Astyanax mexicanus: one gene and its partner. The protein of the gene in region 1 purifies or fractionates together with the protein of each later gene. This does not show direct contact. Links are inferred from orthologs where the notes say so. Each region holds a gene or a part of one and is shown in the gene's direction. Other genes may lie near its edges.

Region 1 (10,882 bases):
TCACTCTCTTTCAACTGCTCACATTGATTAATTGTATTTTTTTTAACACCATTTATCAACACCAGGCCACAATCTCAGGATTTGTGTGTGTGTATGTGGCATATGTTCCCTCCTCTGATACAAAACTCGCACTTAACTCATGAATATAATTAATCCAGCCTGTCCCTCTCTTCTTAATCTGAGTTCAAAACCTGTCGCAGTCCAGCAAACTCTACCCCAAGGCTATGCATCCATAATCCCTATACTCAGATGAGTCCCGCTGGGGCATGGTAGAAACAGTGTGTCTGTCAATCCACGGTGCTGTGCTGTGCTTTTTTTCTTCCTTTCCTTTTTTTTGCTTCTACTCTGGCAGTAGAACTGATTCCCTTCAATAGGAACAATAAGATATACGTCTGTTTTATCAGGAGACAGCAGAACGGGACACTTTCTGCTCAGTAAATGCTGCTTTTGTGGCGTGTTTCAGTAGTGAAGCCAGCGAATATGCTTTTACCACTTTTTGAGCATGGGAATATAGGGCCTAGCTCATTTTCTGCAATTGAAAAAGAACCAAAAATAATAATAGTGGAAAAGGGACTGGAAGATAATCATCTTTCCATTAAACTTTCATCCAAAGCAAGTTTGATGTTCAAGGGGCCCAATTATAGCTTGTGTGTTTTCACCAGAGCATTTACAGCTAGTGTATCTGGCTCAAGGCTGCTGCGAGGGCATCATTATGGGAGCGGAGTGAGTGGGATTTGACCCCACAACACGCTGATGGACACAAACCAGATGCAACCTTGAACAGTGTGACGGATGATTAAATAAAGCATACACAGTGAGGTGTATAGATTTTCCGAGCAGATAGCATGGGTGGGATGGCGGGGGGAGCGTTGTGCCAGGATTTGTGTCACCACAGTCTGTGCGTGTGTGTGTGTGTGTGAGTGAGAGAGAGAGAGTGCATGCGTGTGTGTGTGTCTCAGTGTATTAGCAGTCAGAGCACTGGGGCCCGGAGGCGATTCCTGTGTGTGCTTGCGATAAAGGGGGAAAGGGAGGAAGTTAGAGAGGGGTGGGGGTGAGTGATGTGGGTTGGGGTGGTGGGGGGGGGGGGGGTGATGGAAGATGGAGAGAGAGAAAGAGTTAGAAGAAGAAGAGAAGGAGGAGGAGATGGAGGATGTTAAGAGGGATAGAGGAAGGGAGGGTGGTAGAGATAGAGAAGGAGAAAGAAGTGAATGAGAAGTGGAGGAAAGAAACAAGGGCGAAAAACCAGCAGAGTTTGGAGCTTCCATGATGCTGTCAAGACTCCTGGATCATGTCCCCATCGGGCTCTCTTGCTCTCTCTCTCTCTCTCTCTCTCTCTCTCTCTCTCTCTCTCTTTCCCTCCCTGTTTCCCTCTTTCTCTTTGTGTGTGTGTGTCTCGCTTTCTCTCCCTCTCATGAAACGAGGGGAAGAGTGTCTTGGCAGGGTAATTAAGAATGGCCTCTAAACACAGGAGTATGGCAGGAACGCTCCAGATGAAAGTAAATGATTAAAATAATTACAGGCTCTGAGCTGACGAGCTGGAGTGCGGGGTGGCCGCCGGACATTTGTCGGTAATTAGATAATTAATCTGAATGCAAATTATGAGTCCTAACGAAGCAGTCAGGCTGAACCAGTGACAAATGCCGAGAGAGAAAGAAAGAAAAAGAGAGAGAGATAGAGAGAGAGAGTGGGGTTGGGGGGATACAGAGAAAAATTTAAATGAGTATGACACATCCGGTCTCACTTTCACTACAATGATTCCCTGTGCATCTATCATAAATTCATTTCAAATATGCTATAGGAGCTGTAGACAAAAATAAAAAAACTAGAAACCTGGGCCTGTACAGGAAGAGGAGAAGATGAGACACAAACATCATTAAAAGTCCACACGATGCTTGCAGTGTAAGAAAATTACATTTCAATCATCTTTCCAAAGTAATAACAATAACACGATTGTTTTTTTTTTTTACTTTTGATTTTTATGATCTGTTTATTCTAGCTGATATACAAATTCTGACTTTTATACATTTATCAGAGAAGGAATGTGCTAGTTTTCACCCTTACAGACTTAGGGGCCTTAGTAGTGTTAGTGGGTAAAAGTTTGAGCGAAAATTGGGGCACCACACAGTTTAGCAAAAAGTCTGTGGATACATTTGCATTCCACCATTTAGCCATGTCTTTTTACTATTTTGACAAAAAGTACCATTGCAACCACCTAAGCAACATCTTAGCACCTACTTTTTTTGTATTTGTCAGATTTGATTTTTTTTAAATGTGTTTACATTTAATTTATTTGGATTGACTTGTTTTTACTTTTATTATTTTAAAGATTTCTTTTTTCAAAATTATATTTTGATCTTTTACTATTATTCATTTATGCTGTATTTTATATTATATTTATTTTTATCAATACTGTTTTCCCTTTTTAGTGTACTTACTGTATTCTGTTTGATCATTTTAATCCTGAGTTTAAATAAAGGTTGATTAATTAAACTTCATCATAGCAACACTTTAAACAACCATCTGGCAAAACCATTGCAACCAATAACTAAAGTATAGCAAAACCATTGCAGCACCTTGGTAACAAACACATTTACCTAGCAACTTTTTAGCCAACACATACAGCTATACCATAGTAATCATAGTAAACTGCATTCACACTCACAGTTTTTGCTGTTCTCTCTAGTTTTAACTGCTATAGGCCGTGTTGCATAGTGGGTCACAACATCAAAGCATAAGAAATAAAATCAAGACTGTGGCGTAGGCAAAGGGAAGCATTTTGAAGGGCTTTTCAAGGCTTTAAAGAAATCTTTTGATCAGCCTGAAAAAATACAGGGTAATTTGCGCTCTGTGCCTTCGTTTAATCTGCTTGGGGAGACAGACTGCGTCCTCTGAGCTGGATCTGTAGGACACAGTCTGAGCATCAGTGTGAATCATTCTTAGTAATTTAGGTTACTCAGCAGGAAAAATAACAAAAAACGAATTTTATATTCCCAGTGTATATCATCTTATTTAGAGGAGAACAACATCAGTAGCCCAAAGCTCTGATCTGCATCAGCGGTCTGCAAAGGACTGGCCTACACTTGGGGTCACCGGTCTTATACACAGAAAGAGCCAGTGTTAGTGCTGGTTTTCTTCAGCTTATTGTTTTACCTCATCTGCTCATATCTGAATACCTGTAAATGTTACTGTGATGTCCAGTCTCTACCTTAACATACGTTCTCATAGAAAATAATAAAAATGATGGCCTGTGAAACAAACAAAATTAAACTTAAGCTTGATAGCATAATCAATTTTATTTGTATTGTTTATCTATTTAATCACAATGTGCAAATATATATCTGAAAATAGCACCCTGTGCCCAAGCAATTAGATGCAGTATATTAATAGCACAAGTCTGTAAGTTCTTAAGACTATGTAACAGTTTACTACATATGGTGTACAGTCTATGGCTTTTACCAGGACTTTTGTTATGAAATTTAAACACAGTGAAAATAAATAGAGATATATAGGCTGGCCTTGTGTAGTGTTTTGCAGATACAAATTAATGATTAGTCCACTGCTGCACCATTAAAAAGCATCCCAATCGACTGTCTGATGACACTTCGGTTTCAGCAGCTCCACTCTGGCTTACAGGAAGGCCCTGTAGAAGATGCTGAAGAATGCTTACAGCTCTGTGCCACTGGAGACCTTCACCACAGTGCTTTGAATGTTATCTGAGCATGCAGCATCGTCTGAGACTCACCTACCATTCCAGCCAGACACACACTGTATAACCTCCTATCATCTATGAGTAGCCACAAGATTTTGTGTGGCAGAACCAGTTGGTTCGATCGGGACCTACTTTTGATGAGCTTCACACTACACAGATAAACACTACTACACTACTCCTAATATACTGCCCATATTCATTTATTGCTAACACTTATTAATAAGGATTGGAATCAGGAGTTAACAGAAAAGAAAAGTGCTAAAATTAAATGTAATAAAATATTTTTACACTAACTTACATTGAAAGTTAAGAAAGATTTATTTAGCTACTGTCAAATTGCTATTTTGCAGATTTTGACATGAAAGCAGCAATATATGGACAAAAGTATTGAGAAACATCACTGAAATCAACACTATTAAAAAAGTTTTTTTCTGCTTCTGCTGCTATCTGCCTCTACTGTCAAGATAAGCCTTTTTAGTTGATTTTGGAGCATTGTTGGGAGGATTTTCATAGCATTTAGTGACACAAGGTCAAACTATCATTCCAGAACTATTGTGTTTAGCATTATTTTGGGGAACACATTTGTCTATCTATCTGCCTTCATCTCCGCCTGCCTGTGTATGCAATGTGAGCTTTTAAGTGTTTATATAAAAAAAAAACATTATGTGCAGCAGAGCAGAGTTTCACGTGAGTACATGTGATGTATCAACTGGCCTGTGGCAGATCAGACATTAAATATGATATACTGTAGTGAGATTTAAACACATGCTCTATTGTAAATGTTTGAGACACACCAATAGTGAGCAAAAAAGTAAACGTAATTTGCTTGTTTAAAGTTATTTTAAGTAACGTTTGCTCTCTTGCTTCTGCTAAGGTTGGGTGAAAATGATCACAAATCCTACACAGAAGATCCTCACAACAACTGTGAAACGTCGTAGTGGTAGTGTGATGGTTTGGGGAAACTTTTGAACATCTCCTTTATATGGGCTCAGACTTATTACTATGATTCAGGGATTGCTGGTTTGCATTCCGGCTCATGCTGCTTGCCATGAGCACAACTGGCCATGCTCTCTCTCTGGTTGGGTTGATTTTCTCCCCACATTACTCCCAATGAGATGCTGGTCAGCACAGGCTGATGTTAGCTGATGTATGAGAGCTGAGTCCCTTTCCTCTGAGCGCACTGTCTACCCAGTAATTCATCAGCTGCAGTCCAAAAAGAGGCTGTATGTGGCTTCACTTTTATTGATATCTGGTGTTGGTGTTGTAATTGGCTTTCCAAATTTGGAATAAAATGAGATCAAATAAAATAAAATAAAAATTATTCAGACCAGGGGTCACCACTGTTACCCCATAATCACACTTGCTTCTATAATTAGTCCCATCTGTTCCATGTTATTAATGCCTTCAAATAAAATTAGTTATACTGTCACATCAAAAAACAGGTGTAATGGTGAGTGAAAAGCGATGTATAGTCCCTTATAGTAAAACACATACAGATATTTCATAATTATTACATAACCCATGAAATATAAAGATGATTATATTTCTATTTACATGCTGATGTTTGAAGATCTGAGATGAAGTTGTATCTACAGGATTGTTTCAGGCTATTGACTTGAAGCTGTTCTACAATGTGGAGTGGAGAGGAATTCTTCTGTAGCATTGTGAGACAAATAATTAACAACTACAAAAAGCATTTAGCATTTAGTTGCATTTATTGTTGCTACAGGGGATATAACAAGTTACTGAAAGAAAGAGGCCAATAACTGTTTCACACAGAGGGATTGGGTGTTGAATATCTTTTCTTAATAAATACATTCACATTAAATTACTTGTGCATTTGTTCCCTCAGGGTCTTTTCTGATTCAAGATGTAATGCCATTTAGTGGTTTGATGTTGCACAAATTCAGGAATGCAGACTACAGTAAACACTTATTTATAGTGGAATGCAAAAGTTTGTTTGTTCAGAAGTTCTGATACTGTAAATAAACTCATTAACTGATCCAGGTCTAAGTAAAATGACTATAAAAACAAGATGAGCCTGGAATCTGACAAAATTATTTATCCTCTTTTTTCCTTATTGGCTATAATTTGTGGCAATTAAAAAGACAATACGAAAAAAGGTTTGACTATTTTTTTTCAAAGTGGTTACACCAGTATACCAGTATACATTAAGGTCCAAAAATTGTTGCCTTAAATGAATGTCACAAATGAAAAAAAATGAAATATGGAGCTGCACATGTTCACTTTATTTAATGGCATTATTCGCATGGGTAAAAACATATTTACAGTACCAGTCAAACGTTCAGTGTAACATTTATCAGTTTAATTTTCTGTATTCTAAAAAAAAAATAAACTGGGTGTAAACTTATTCACTTATAAATAAGACTCATAAAACGAAATATTTCAGTAAGCCATTAGTATAGTGATTTTTTTTTCCAGTTGTCAAGTTTTTAATTTCTGCCCCTCACAATTATGATTTCAGTGAAAATAAAAGCTTGACTCTTTACTTAATTATTTAATTTTCCATTTCTGCATCTCGTAACATAAGGTGATTGGAGTATACCATCAGATTGGGAGAGGAAAATTTGAAATTGATTAATTGTTAGATTTTTTGTTCAATTCTGATTGTGAGGGGTAGAAATGTAAAAGTAGATAAATGAAAAAAAAAAACTATAAAAATCTAAAAAAATTACTTCACCAAATGTGAAAAACAAATAATGAAGTTTTACGTTTTTGCTGGTTTTTACTATTTTTTTTTTTTTTTTTTACTAATTTAGCCTCAGAAAAATGAACTGATAAACATTACACTGACCCACACCTCTTCTTCTCATTCAGTGTGATCCCTGTTTACATTGATTTGACTCCTATGATTTTTTTACATTGAACATTTTATATTGAAGACATTTAAGCTGTAAAAGAACACGTGGAATTATTTAGTAAACAAAAAGTGTTACACAAACCAGATATATGTTTTATACTTTAGATCTGCACATTCTTGGTATTTTAATCTAAGTGGCCAAAAAAAGACCCAACCTGCTGCATGCCACTGTATCTGCTGGTCATGCTGTGTCTGATAGAGTGACCACGTGACAACTGCAGCTTCAGCTCATGCAGTGTGGTGACGACAATCTCGCGCGCCGCTGTTCTTCTACTTCTGCTGTGTAATTCCGCCTGCATTCAGCGCTGAGTTTAGCTAACCCTGCTCGCTGTGAGAGATGGAGTATTTACTGGGGATCCAGGGGCAGGATTTCGTGCTGGTTGCGGCTGATAATGTGGCCGCCAGCAGCATCATCCAGATGAAACACGGTAAAGATTTAATAGCGTTTAAGGAGCGGCTAACTGTGAGGCTAAACGGCTAACCGGCTGCCTGTGTGATATAGTTAGCTAGCTAAGCTAAAGCTAAACTGATTAAGTTGATCTCTTCTGAGTAAATATTAAATAAACTGAGCCCAGAAGCATGTTTAATAAATGTTATAGTTATGCAGTTTGAGGATTTCCGCCCCTTTATCAACGTAAAACGTCTAGAAAGACGATTTTAGAGTCATTAGAGGGCTAACGCTAACTGTCTAGCTAAGCTAACTAACTAAGATAAGCTCTTTCTGTGGGTAGAACAGATTTTCTGCTCATATTTAATCAGCTAACGTTACCTACATTATACTGTATAATATATACATTTATAGAGCATACTGCTGTTAAAAACGTAAATTAAACATTATTTTCGTTTGTAATGTGTCTATAGCTAACATTATCAGAGTTATGATAAGGAGATGAGTTTGCAAATCCCTTATGAAAGTGAAAGTGACTTTTTTGTTGCTCATTTACTGGCGGATATTTATATATGTATTAAATAACTTAATTGATACAGTCACTTAACTATCTGTTCTCTGGTCAGTGTTTTAAAGCTTATATCATTTTGACACCTTCCGAAAATGTATTGACTAATTTTTAATTCAAGTTTAACTCAGGGAACACAAAGCACATATAACAGTTGTTATCGCTGTTTAAACATTAGTAATGTTTTAAGAGGTTAGTTTATCATACAGTAGAGCAGTAGAACCAACCAGAAACCTTAATCCTAATTAAAAAAAATAAGTTATAATTTTATAAACCACAAATTGTAGAGTATTTTTAGCTAGATTTATGGCTATTTTGCTGAATAAAATGCAGGCAAAAAAACTCAACTAAACCTTTATGCTCTATGTATAGCCTATACAAACATTAGCTTTTATTAACAAAAAGTAAACTTTATATTCTAATCAAAATCTCATTACTTGCCAATTGTGGATAAACCCTGAATCATGGAAGTTAGTTAAATGAAGGTAGATGTCCTCTTGGAAAGCTGATAAAAATGGGTTTGTCACGTTTTATTTTGACTTGGGCATAATAATTTAGTTCAAGTAACACTGTTAGGCCATATGCCATTATCTGAAAGGTCTGGAATCAAATGATCTGATCAACTGAGGTGTAGTGATTTTACCACAAGTGGCCATGCAGCAACATGAGGAGATGGTTTAGACAAAAAAGTCTATTTATTATTTAAGGAAAGTGACTACATGATACTGACTAGTTAAGCAATGTTTAGAAGCTTATGATAGTGATTTTTTTTGTACAGAGTGTGGTCCCCGATAGAACAATATTGTTGTTCTAAGACAGTTTTATGTAAATTATACAATAACAGTACAATACAATAGCGTATGCAGTTCCACCCTTAAACCTTAACTGTTTTTAAGAATAATTAGAAAATAGAAAATTGAGTAATAGAATTTGAATATTTTAAATGTTCTAAGTAAATAAAGTGTACATTTGTGAACATTTGCCAACACACTGGATCATTGATGTAAATGTACTTGCTTGGCGAACGCAGTATCATGGGCAGAATCTGGGTCAGTAATGTTATTAACAAACATATATTGTACAGTAACGTATGTGACATGTCTACGAAGACAATTGTTTAATAAAGTGAAGGAACAGTTTGTAAAATTAAGAGAACCATTTATTAAATTATTGTTTAATACATTTTGTGAAAGATTTGACTGTAAATATTATTTTTCTACCTTCACATTTTAGGAATTCTGTATATTGAATCTTTTTTGTGTTATGTTGGTGAGGGTTTAAAATCTAAAAATCTTTTTTTCCTCTTTCAGACTACGACAAAATGTTCAAACTAAGTGAGAAGATCCTGTTGTTATGTGTCGGCGAAGCTGGAGATACAGTGCAGTTTGCAGAGTATATTCAGAAAAATGTTCAGCTCTACAAAATGAGAAATGGTAAGTATTTGCTTAAAGAGCCAGAGAAAGGCTTTTAGCTTTAAAACTTTAGAAGTAATTTAACACTTTTAGTTTTTTTGTTAAAACATGGAATTTTCACAACTTAATCCGGCAGATATACAGTATTATTCAGATATTTAAGGCCTATAATCACATTACAAATTCAAGATTTTATTAGAACAGGTGCAGGGAAACAAAAAAACAGTAAACAGGAATTTTTGGAGAAAGTAGTTTAAAGAACAAAGCTTTCTCCAGCATGCGTTTAGTCAGCACATGGATATGTTCAGTTCTGATCAGCTTAACTGATTTAACCCCTTTAATGTACTGTAGGTGTAGTCTATTTTGTGACTTTTGTAATTCATTTTGGTTTTAAGTGCAATAACTATTTCTGTTTTTAGGGTATGAGCTCAGTCCAGCAGCTGCAGCAAATTTCACCAGGAAGAACCTAGCAGACTATCTCCGCAGCCGGGTGTGTATATACATTGTCTTAAAAAAAAGTATTTTTAAAAGCCCCTTTTTACATTTTTTTGTCTAGTGTTACCTCAGAAAATGTCCTTCAAGTTGTTGTTTATATAATGTTCACTTGAAACTGGTATGTTAAACTTTTTGGGGCTGCCAAAGCAAAGTGATTACTTTGCCATGTTGAGCTATGTAGTTGAGGATTAATTATTAATGCAGTTACATTTGTATTGATGCGTGATTAATCATAAAAATAAAGTAAACACAGGGTTTCTGAACAATTATGACCATATGTTTTAAAACTCCAGAATTCATATTGGGGTGGTCAATATGGTGAAAAAATATTTTAATATTTAAAGACATTTTCACATTATGAAATATTTGGCGCGGCCAGAATGCAAAGTACTACCCCGTTTTGTAGTGCTCAAATATTTTTACGAAGTTTGCTATAAAATCTATACATGCCCTGTAATCTCAGAATAACACTATCACTATATCACCATCAGAGTATGATATAGTATTGTCATTTTGCCTACTTATAGGATTAAGTAAATCTCATTATATCAATGTCATGTTTAGGAAGCATATTTAGTTTCACAATAAAAAACATGATCACAAAACAGTGACATATTGACATAATACATATTTGTAATGTACATATTCAGTGTAGTCTCACTGTGTGATTACATTTGGGTTTCCTGGCCCCACCAGCCCCCACCAGTGCTCATTTATTAGCACTAAACAAACCTGTAAACATAACTCACACTGGGTTGCCAGCGCTGCACAGTGTGCCACTAGCTGTGACTAAATGACCCGTGTTGACGCCGATCATAGACAGATGTCAGTTTGTTGTGAATGTGTGGAGGTGTGATCCGAGGTCTCTGAGGCTTAAACCTTTAGCACCTGGGTCTTCTCTGCAGCGCGATCCCACTAATCTCAGATGTCTTCTTCCCATGTGTATGTATGTATGTATGTGTGTGTGTATATGTGTGCCCATCTGTGTAAAAGGACTGCCACCATCCCAGTCCTGTTGTCTGGCAGTTTGTGCGTTAATTTGTTAGGAAGAGTGTAGCTGCTGCTTGTCACAATAGCAGAAGGGAGAAAATAATTACAAAAAACAATTAGAGCAGCTGATGCGGGAGGGGCTGCACAGGGAGAGGGGGCCTCCGGGGCATCAGGCCAGGATCCCAAATCAACATGCTTCAGCTGTAGCACTTCTACTGCACTTCTACTAGAGCATGCTTAAAGAACGGCCCACACCGGCTGCCTGTCAGGTCTGTTCCCCACAGGACCACTTTCACTATTGTGGTTTGTGGGGTTGGGTGTGGTTAAGCATTAAGTGTAATGAAAATCACTTGAATCTGAAATTGATATAATTACTTGTATCCTTGTTTTTGTCATCTCGGTTGACAGTGTAGGGCAATAGTGGCTCAGTAGTAGTAAC
Region 2 (10,017 bases), on another chromosome or scaffold:
TGAACTCTTAAAACTTTATTAAAAGTTTGTATTATTTTAGTTCTGAACTGTTTATCTGCAAAAACAATTTCTTTAAAAATTCATCATACATCTATATAAGAAAATGTTTTCTTATTTCTGCACACATTTCTAATTTATCTGCCTTTATGTCTTGAAAATAATTATCTGCATTACCTAAAACACAATCTGCAAATATTTATTAAAGAAATTAAAAACTACATTATTTCTTAAAAACATTAAATTATCTATATTACTTTTTTTTTATCTGATATACATGTTTAAAAAATATAAATGTTATTTTTAACAAATACAATCTGTTTTTTAGGAAGAAAAGGCATTGTTTTTTTAAAAGCTAAATTATATACTTCATACGTATCTATAAAATGGACAAAACATCTAAATTCATACATTTTGCTACAAGCTTATTGATTTTTAGAAAAAGGCATAAAGTATACACTATTTGTTTAAAAAAAGCATAATTATCTTTTCTTTAAAAAAAAAAAGCTAAACTAAACTGTCAATAAAAATACTTTTTTTCTAGGACTAAAAGATGTATGATATTGTTTCTCAGAAAGAGAACTGTTAGACAGGTAGACTAGACTGAAGATTAGATCTGATCTATGCAGTGCGACTGAATGCAGAACCCCTCCCGGCTGCAGCGCAGACCAACCTGCACATTAACTCAGCTGCTCTTCTTAATAGTGACCTCCTCAGAGTCCTTCATCATCCGGAGAGCTTTGCAGTGTGAAGCTGGGGGGGCGGCTGATGGCTGATTTGGTTCTCGGGTATACGGTGTAATGATGGGTGGAGGGTGGGGGTTATTAAAGGCAGCAGCCGGACCGCAACCAGCAATCAGCCGCAATCTCTCTTTTACCCTCCATTTCTGCGGGTTGGGTCGCTGAAGAGTCTCTCCCTGCAGGACCAGGCAGGAATGTTACACCTTCATGCTGAGGAGCATCCCAACCTCCTGGGCTAATGGAAGCACAAAGGCTACCATATACAGCCAACATGGAGCCCAATTAACAGCTAACAACACAGCTTTTGTAAGACTTACTCAGATCTGATAAGTATGTACACTGTATGTACCAATGTTTGTAGTGGTCATACTGAACACTGGGGCTCGAAATTCAATACCAAAAAGGCATCGAATGAAACGCATGAAACGCGCATAAAAGCACAGAATGCGGAGAAAGCGCACAGCGTGGTAAAAACAACCATGATCGTGCCCTGGTGCAGATAAGTGGATACAATATTTTGAGATGAGTTGGGGAGCTCAGGATGAAGTGAGGTGGTGATAATACAACATCATGACCTCACTAAGGTTCTTTCCACTGAATGCAATAAAATGCTTACACGTACAGGCAGTTACTCAAAAAAAAAAGCAAGATAATTTTTCATACTCTTGATTTCTTAAGAAACAATGAAAGAGCAGGTGTATCTAATTTTAAACCTTTGTACATAACCTTCACTACTGCCATTATTTAGCACTCTATAGGTTCCATCTGCATGATCCAGTCTTGCTCACATTTTAAACTGCTGCTAGTGTTTAATGACAGCTAAACATGCTAGGAGTAGAAGCGTAACACAACAACAACCTATAAAAATCTATCTTCTTTGCCAACTAATCACAAAGGCCTACACATAATGAAACAGCATATCCAATCCTGGCCCACATCCTATATTCTGGAGAGCCCAGGTGCAGACTCTAGAGTTTTCCTGATCCCTGATGGAATATTGGAGGTGCAGTAGTGTTTCTCCCACTCAATGGAGTCACTAACCTGGAAAACCTGGAGTAATCCCTCAGCGATCCGGCAGTAGTCCGGCCGCGTGCCAGCACATAGCAGAGATTAGCATTTTACACTCAGCTGAGGTTTTGTGCGCGCGCACACATACTTTTTTAGCACTGTGCAGCTTGGTGTGGATCTAGCACACTTGACCTAACTTCATGATTACACTGAAAATAACGTCGCTTGCACACTTCTTATATAAAGTTATAATTTGTTGAGCCAACATAACTTGCCAATGCTCAATGAAATCTGAAGTGAACTGAAATAGATATATTCAGTTATTTGCAGGTATTACATAATTTTAAGGCTTAATATAACATCTTTACATTTAACATCTTCACAAGTAGAACAAAGCTTTTGGGAAAGACTAAACATTGATGGTGAATATAAAGAGGGGAGACACACCCAGTATGCAATGATTTACACATCTAAGTTGCTTTGCACAAAGTCAGTGGCCAATGAAATTACTTGGGTGTGTGGCCATGCCAGTCATATCATGCATGCAGAAATTTAAATGTAAATTAATTACATTGTGTCAACAAGACACAATGAAGTGTAATAAAACAATAATTTATTTGTGTTGACAAAACACTATGCATTTATGTTTAAATGCAGTTGAATCTGTCTCCTCTATATCCACTGGATTAGTTTGGTAAAGGTATGTGGTGTAAAACACAGAGTTACTTACATTGTACCAGTGCTTGGAGGGGCAAAAGCTCCAAACTACCATCAGCCATTCTGGTCTTTGCTAAATCCATTGGTAAATCTGATCTTCGTCGGTTTTAACATGCAGTGCTGTGGCTATTTACTTTTCTTCCACTCATCCACTCTGAAACACACATTCAAAAATCAATATTACAAAAAATATTCTAAAACAGTAAAGTGCATTGCACACAGGGTCTATATTATACCTAGGCCTGCTTTAATGGGTTTATATAAAGCTATTGTGTTTTTATGTGAACACAGCATCTACAGAGCTGAACAGCTGGATTGGAGAACAGCTCAGTTTACAACCACTTGCCCTATTCAAGCATCAAATGTAATAAGTAATAACATTTATTATTCAGGTAGAAGTACAGATGATAGGGTTTAAAATACTTCTTTATATATGTTGAATAATCAGCCCCCCCCCCCCCTGTCCTTTTTTAACATTTTCCACACATTTTTGTAAAAGAAATAATTACTATATTGTTATATTTAAATGATAATGTTGATAAATTTGGGATGCACTAGTCTCTCTATTTCAGCTGCATATATACCCATTGAAAATGAGCAGGTGTGATGGATCGCATATGAAACAATTATTTTTCTTTACTGTTAAAAGGTTATGGTCATATAGGTGACCTATAAACCGTATTTTTATAGTTTTACAGTTCATTATTATTTTTTAACTTGCCATTGCTATGCTTTAACTGCTATTTACATGTTTTTTTTTTAACATCCAAGCAGATTTTTTAATGTTCCTAATAAAAACTTAAGGAATTATCATTAAAAACCTAAAAACATACAAAAAGAATGTTTTTACATGCGCAGTGCTGTAAAGAAGCACATATCGATGGGTAGCATAACTCGACAGAACACCGGTTCCCCGGAGCCGCGCACACAGATCCCAGGCTACACAGCTGATTCACACAGCGTCTCTCCCGCTAACCATAATAAACACTGCTGGGAAAAGTTCAGCTGCGCTGCCATGGAGAACAAAACTCAATTTTGTTTTAATTCAAACAATTTGTTTTTTTTTCCCAGCATTTTATTTTTTTACTCAGTAACGGGGAGTTTTCCAAAGTAGCAAAGTAAATTACTTGTGTCAAAATGTACTTGAGTAAAAGTAAAATTACCTAATTTAAAAACTACTTTAAAAATTACAAATTACTCATAAAATCTACTCAATTACAGTAATGTGAGTAAATGTAATTAGTTACTTTCCACCTCTGATGTTTATACTTCTCATCCAACTACAATCAAATTCACTCTGTCTGGATGGAGAGATTAAATGATTTGAACGATGAGAAGCCGGAATGAAAACAAGAGGAAGTTTTTTTTTAAATGTAAGGAGTAGAAAGAACAGATGATTGTGTATAAATGTAAGGAGTGGAAGTAAAAGTGGTGTGAAAAATAATTACTCCAGTAAAATATAGATAACCAACATTTCTACTTAAGTAACGTAATGAAGTATTAGTACTTTGTTTTTTGATACCTCTGTCAAGCATAATGAACAGATGCCCTGATATAAATTGAGTGTAAACCCTTGTTCAGAGACTAAACTGGGGATTTCATGGGCCAATAAATGTTTAAGCGTTGTCTGATCATGTCTGCATTAAACAAGCTACCTAGAGGCAGCCAGTGTTTACCTCAGACTTCCCTAACCTGCTATCAGTAATCCAGTTTCTGTACAGCAGCTCCCTCTACTGGCAGCACCCATATATCAGCAGATCTCAGGTGATTTAGTATTTCTAAAACACAGCTTCAATAACGTGAATAAATAGGCATACGTAATCTGTCTTATATAATAACCCTCCAATATACAGGATTTAACTAGAGTCCAAATATGGCTTTTTACACACAAACATAACACTGTATATACATATTTTATATTACACAATATCTTCAAACGTTTGAATGAATGCTTTCATTTACTTTAAGTTGCACCCAGAGAGGGATTGTTGATACAGATGTGTAGATGCACACACAGCTTGTCTAGTCCCTGTAGAGAAGCATTATATAAAAATATAATTGGACCTACTGAGATATACATGAACCTATTAACACAATGCATAATGTCAGACATGGGCTAGATGGGTATACACTATTTACATAGGTCACTATCCTAAAGGGCTAGAATCAAATGATCTGATCAGCTGAGGGTGTAGATTTTACCACAGGTGGCCATGCAGAATCACGGGGAGATGATTTAGGCAACAAAGGATTATTTAAGGAAGGAAATGATTAGTAGTATATATATTTTTTTTTTAATTTTAGCTAAAGCTGTTTGGCATTTTATTAGATTTTATTTTTTAGTATGTATTAAAATATTGTTTAATCTTTTTCGTTTAGTTTAGTTAGCTTTCTTGTAACACGAAGAACCAACTAATTTTAAAGTCGCTTCTAACAAAAGTTTAATAAAATGCCAAACATAGGAGGCCCATCTTTGCTGGCTTCCAATAGTCCCTATGTTCACACATCTGCAAAAAAAACAAAACAAAACAAACCCACAATCACAAAAACTACACACTGCGCTACTCAAAAGCTCTTATTTGTTTGTGTAAATATCAATGTGGTCAATTTTTTTTAAGTTCGACTTACTTTTTAAAATCTGTGATTTTGCTTTAAAATAACAAATATTTTACTTATGGTTGTACATACATTATTTAACATATTTTTAATTGTATAACTTATTTAATTTTAGTTTTTTTTATAAGGTAAAAAGAGGCATTGGTGTTACTTAGCTTGATAAAACCATTGTTTCAGATCTTTCAGTTACACGTAGGTCAAAATATTAACGTTTAATCAATATTTCGAAAATAACATATACTACACTAAGTAGCAATAAAATATTTTAAATTAGCTAATGATGCAGAGATACTAAATTCGAGATACTAAATGGAAAAATCGAGGTATTAAGTGAATATTTGGACAATGCAGTATTTTCAGTTTTCTTATTCACAGAATTGCTGCTTGATTTTCTTCTCCAGTCTGCGTAACTGCAGTGCAGGCCTGATGCGCACCGACACTCTTCCTCCGCGGCGGTAACACCGTTCAAACAGAGGAGCATCATGGCGGCGGCCATAGAGCGGCTGCTGTCCGAAATCTCGGAGTCGGAGGAGCCGATAGAGGAGCTGAGGTGCCTCAGTACTGCCGTGTCCGCGACCCCGCTGAGCGCGCTGAGAGAGAGCCTGTCCCCGGAGAAGCTGGGGCTCATTTTCTCTCTGCTGAACACCAGCGACAGGCAGGTTATTACAGGAGGCTGAGTCAGCTTAGCAACCTTCCACCTTAACAACCCGGCCAGACTCAGCAGCTGTTTACTTTAAGTTACTGCAGGGTCTAACTCACAGAGCAACTTCACAGAGCTGAACTAGACTGACTGCTGAATTTACTGACTCAGACTGGGTTACTGTTGAACTAATTCTGAATCAGGAGACTGACTGACAGCATTAGCATTAGCCCCAACTTACCTGTCAGTCCTGTAGCTGAACTAACTGACCACTGTTAACTACTAGCTAAACTAGCTAACCTTAATGGGGCGACAGGTACTCTTTCTGAACCCATACAACTAAAGTTAATACGTATTACGGTATAATATATAGTTAACTACTGATATGATGTTTAGTCAAGCATTAAATATGTTAACTTTAAATTAGCTAAGATAAAAAAGAGGTCACTAAAGAGGTTTCAGATTTTCAGATCTAATTTTTATATGGCTGTGTAAACGTGCCAAATGTTGACAACTTTTCTAGGTGCAGATTTCATTTTCCAGCAGGACTGCCCACACTGCCAAAAGTACTGACGTGTCTTGTTGACACGTCAGAAGGGGGAATTGAAGAGTTAACCGTTTATTATACCTTGGGTGTGTTGACAAATATCCTTCAATAATGATTACTTAACTTTAGCATCTACAATCACATAATCATTGTGTGAAACCTTGTATTTTATATGCATTTATATAGAAGATTAACCAATACTCACATTGTATTTTATACACATTTATATAGAAGATTAACCAATACTCACAATATATATTCTTTCCACATATAGTTAAACATTGCTTGATCAGGCATGTAACTAACACAGGCTCTATTATATGACAAACTAACCCACATGATACATAAGGCATTTAACTAACACATAGGATCTATTGTATGGCGTACTAACCACGTGTTACTGACATATTAGCATATAACATATGGAATCTATTGTGTGACTTGTTTAGCTCACGCTTAAGGCATTTGGTCACTGCATGATCCTAACTAACGGCCAAACAATGCCACACTGTCTGGCTGGACACAGTCAAGGCCAAACACTAGTGGTCTGGCCAGACACGTGAAATTATGCATATTAACATGAGCTAATCATTAGCAACGCCTCATCAGCAGGTTTCACGTCATTTGGGGTATAAACATGGAGTCAGATCAGAGGGGGGTCAGAACTTTTACTGGGACGGCTGTTAACTGTCTTGTATGTATCGGTTCTCCTGAATTCAGTATTTTGTAATAAATACTTGATTTGCTTTCAACTTCACTCCACCTGTCTGCGACTCTCTCCATCAAAACGAACACGTAGGGGAGTTGTACCCCGGATGAGGGGTGGGGGGAAACCCATCTTTCATTTTCTTTTTACAACAGTACCAATTGGTCTTGTATAATATTTAAATTTTCTGAAATACTGATTTTTGGGTTTTCATTGGCTGTAAGCCATAATCATCAACAATAAAAGAAAAAAACGCTTAAAATAGACTACTCTGTGTTTAATACATTTATATAATGAGTTTTACATTTTAAACTGTATTACCGAAGTAAAGTAACTTTTTAATGATATTCACATTTTTTGAGATGCACTAGTATACTTTGTTGATATGTTGTTTAGTCAGGCATTGAAGATTAAGACAATGTTACCCTAAAATAGTATTTTATCACTATTTAGACATATTAACACAGTGACTGAAAGAACGTCAATATTGTGAGCTAATAAAAGCTAAAATTTCATTATTATAAGATGCTGAATCGAAAACTAACTTTTAATCCAGTATTAAAGGAAGTGACCCTTCTGAGATCCAAGATAAAAATAAAATAAAATGTTAGTTCTGTAACTAGGACTAGCCAGCTAATTATTAACTATAAGCAGCACTAGCTAAGATAGCTAACATTTTTCCATCCACCTTAAATATTGCAGCAGTCACTTTATGGAGTTTCTACTTTGTGAAGCTATTCACCTTATATTACTTTACAGTAAAAACTTATCCACTGTATAAACCTATTGTATTTGTGGGCAGTGACAATGTTTACTTATGGGTGTTTTGTGTAGAGTTTCACAATTGAAATGGGTCTAAGTGCTTATAACACATGATCATTGAGGAGTTTTTGTTCAAGTCTCTCTCTACATCTCTTTGTCTGTATCTGTGTATCCAGGGAGCAGGTTAAGGTGTGTGTGGAGATCTTGGGACGTGTCTTGCAGGTGTTGGATCCTGTTCAGTTGGCTCAGAACTGCAAATTAGAGCTGCAGAGTGGGCTGAACCATCCTGATGATTCTGTTAAAGTGCTGGGTCTCCAACAGGTTCGTGGTAAAGTCCATCTTCCATTTACTGTGATGTTGAGTAGGGGTATAACCTGTTGTATCGTTTATAAAATCTAAATAACTTGTCCTACTAAAACAGTAAAAACTCCTATAATGTGATAATAGAAGTATTTACTGTGAGGCTTTGAGGGTGTATTTGTAATATATATATATATATATATATATATATATATATATATATATATATATATATATACATACATACATACACACATGATGTTTTTTATTTATTTATTTGCATGCACAAAATCTTTGGTTAGTTTGGTGGTAGATTTTGTTATGTTACAGTTTTTTCAGTTTTTATGTTTGTATTTAATAAAAAAAAGAATGTTATTTTGTTTACAAAATGGAAGTTTTGTTTCTACTGAATGTTTAAAACTAAATAGAATAAAAGCATTTATTTTGTTGCAGTACTTTATTCTTGAAATTAATAATATCTTTTTCAGTGTTTTTATCATATTGCCAAAAAATATGTAATACCCTAACATATGCTTTAGTTTTATGAGTGTCCTTTTCTTGTGTTTGTAGATTAGTCGGGTGATTGGCCACTCTGAGGGGATCACAGAGATGCTGAACAGTCCTGAGGTTCTGCGGGATGTAATCCGATGTGTGGGAGCAGAACGTATAGGCGTTGCCAAAGAGGTACAGTAGCTTTGTAGAGTGTAAAGTCATGTTAGCTTAGCTTCTGGAGAGCTGCAGGTTAATATTTTGACATTTAGTGATCTAGTTGAGAGATCCTGCTCTGTGAAATCCTCCTGGTCCTCAAAGGCTCTAGAATGTAGCTCTGTTCTGTTGTGTGGGTTGATGTCTTAACCTCTGTAACTCTTTCTTTTACGGATTTACTGATTCATTCATGTTACAGGCTGTATTTCAGGGAATTGACTCTGGGTATGTGAATTAAAATGTGTCTTTTTTTCTTCTACAATAACAACCATTGATTGACACAGTATGAGCATCAGGTTCAGTTATTTGGATCAGCACCACATATCAGCCTAATTATTCAATACTTTCTGATAATATTAGGACTCTGATTAGGATCTCTGATTCAAGTATCAGAAAGCTGCATCCCTGCGTTCTTTACAAGCTCTTGTTTGTTCTATATTTTATCCCTTATAGGCCATTTCTGCCCTCAGCATGCTGAGTAACACCAAGGCGGGGCTTGATGCTCTCTTCCGCTCCGATTTGCTGAAGGAGCTCAAGGACGTGATGGGCATCAGTGATGTCATCAGATACAGAGTGTATGAGGTAAGCATCAGTCATCCCACTGACTAACACAGTGGCACCTGTTGATGACACAGCTGTGCAAATTCACACCCACACACAGCTTCTTCTCACACAGTCGCTGTAGAGATTTACTGCCAATAGAAAAGGACTCTTCAGAGCAGATAAACATGAACTCAGTGGCATCATGCCTAATGCCAGCTGTGGGTTATAGCAGCCTAAATTCCCCCAGCATTGAGCTGTGGAACAGTAAATCTGTGTTCTCTGGAACAATGGTGCTTAATCCAGAACATTTGGGGTGTAATAAGGATCACTCTACATGCTGACATTTAACACATTTGTAGCAACGTTCCACAATCTGATAGTCTTTTTAATGGCCTTGATTTAGAAAGAAACAGTGTGTTTTAATAATTTTGTCCGTTGGAATTGTTGTACTTGCTAAAATAACATGCTGTTTTTTGACGTAATGTGGCTATTGGTGCATTTATGTACAAGTGTGTGTGTGTGTCTGTGTGTCTGTGTGTGTGTGCATAGCTGGTTGTGGAAGTGTCCTCTGTATCTCCTGTCTCCCTCGGGTACTGTGCAAACAGTAGCTTCATCTCACAGCTTCTGGAAGAACTGACTGGAGAAGATGTACTTGTCAGGTAACACCTACAAATACATTGACAAACAGAGGAATGGCCACAATAACTTATCAATCATCCCTCTGTCTTTTGCATAT

What was found.
Region 2: the proteins of psmb2 (region 1) and psmd5 fractionate together in Homo sapiens (co-fractionation; 3 studies listed by BioGRID). This does not show direct contact. The link is inferred for Astyanax mexicanus from reciprocal best matches to the Homo sapiens genes PSMB2 and PSMD5.

Annotation. Positions count from the first base shown.
Region 1 is NC_064410.1:53,480,470-53,491,351, reverse strand, and holds the start of psmb2 (proteasome subunit beta type-2), read left to right. Parts: upstream 1-6,795; 5' UTR 6,796-6,927; coding exon 6,928-7,018; intron 7,019-8,856; coding exon 8,857-8,979; intron 8,980-9,377; coding exon 9,378-9,448; intron 9,449-10,882. UniProt on the Homo sapiens protein: Non-catalytic component of the 20S core proteasome complex involved in the proteolytic degradation of most intracellular proteins. This complex plays numerous essential roles within the cell by associating with different regulatory particles.
Region 2 is NC_064424.1:26,330,578-26,340,594, forward strand, and holds the start of psmd5 (26S proteasome non-ATPase regulatory subunit 5), read left to right. Parts: upstream 1-5,522; 5' UTR 5,523-5,560; coding exon 5,561-5,737; intron 5,738-7,913; coding exon 7,914-8,054; intron 8,055-8,603; coding exon 8,604-8,717; intron 8,718-9,191; coding exon 9,192-9,320; intron 9,321-9,830; coding exon 9,831-9,940; intron 9,941-10,017. UniProt on the Homo sapiens protein: Acts as a chaperone during the assembly of the 26S proteasome, specifically of the base subcomplex of the PA700/19S regulatory complex (RC).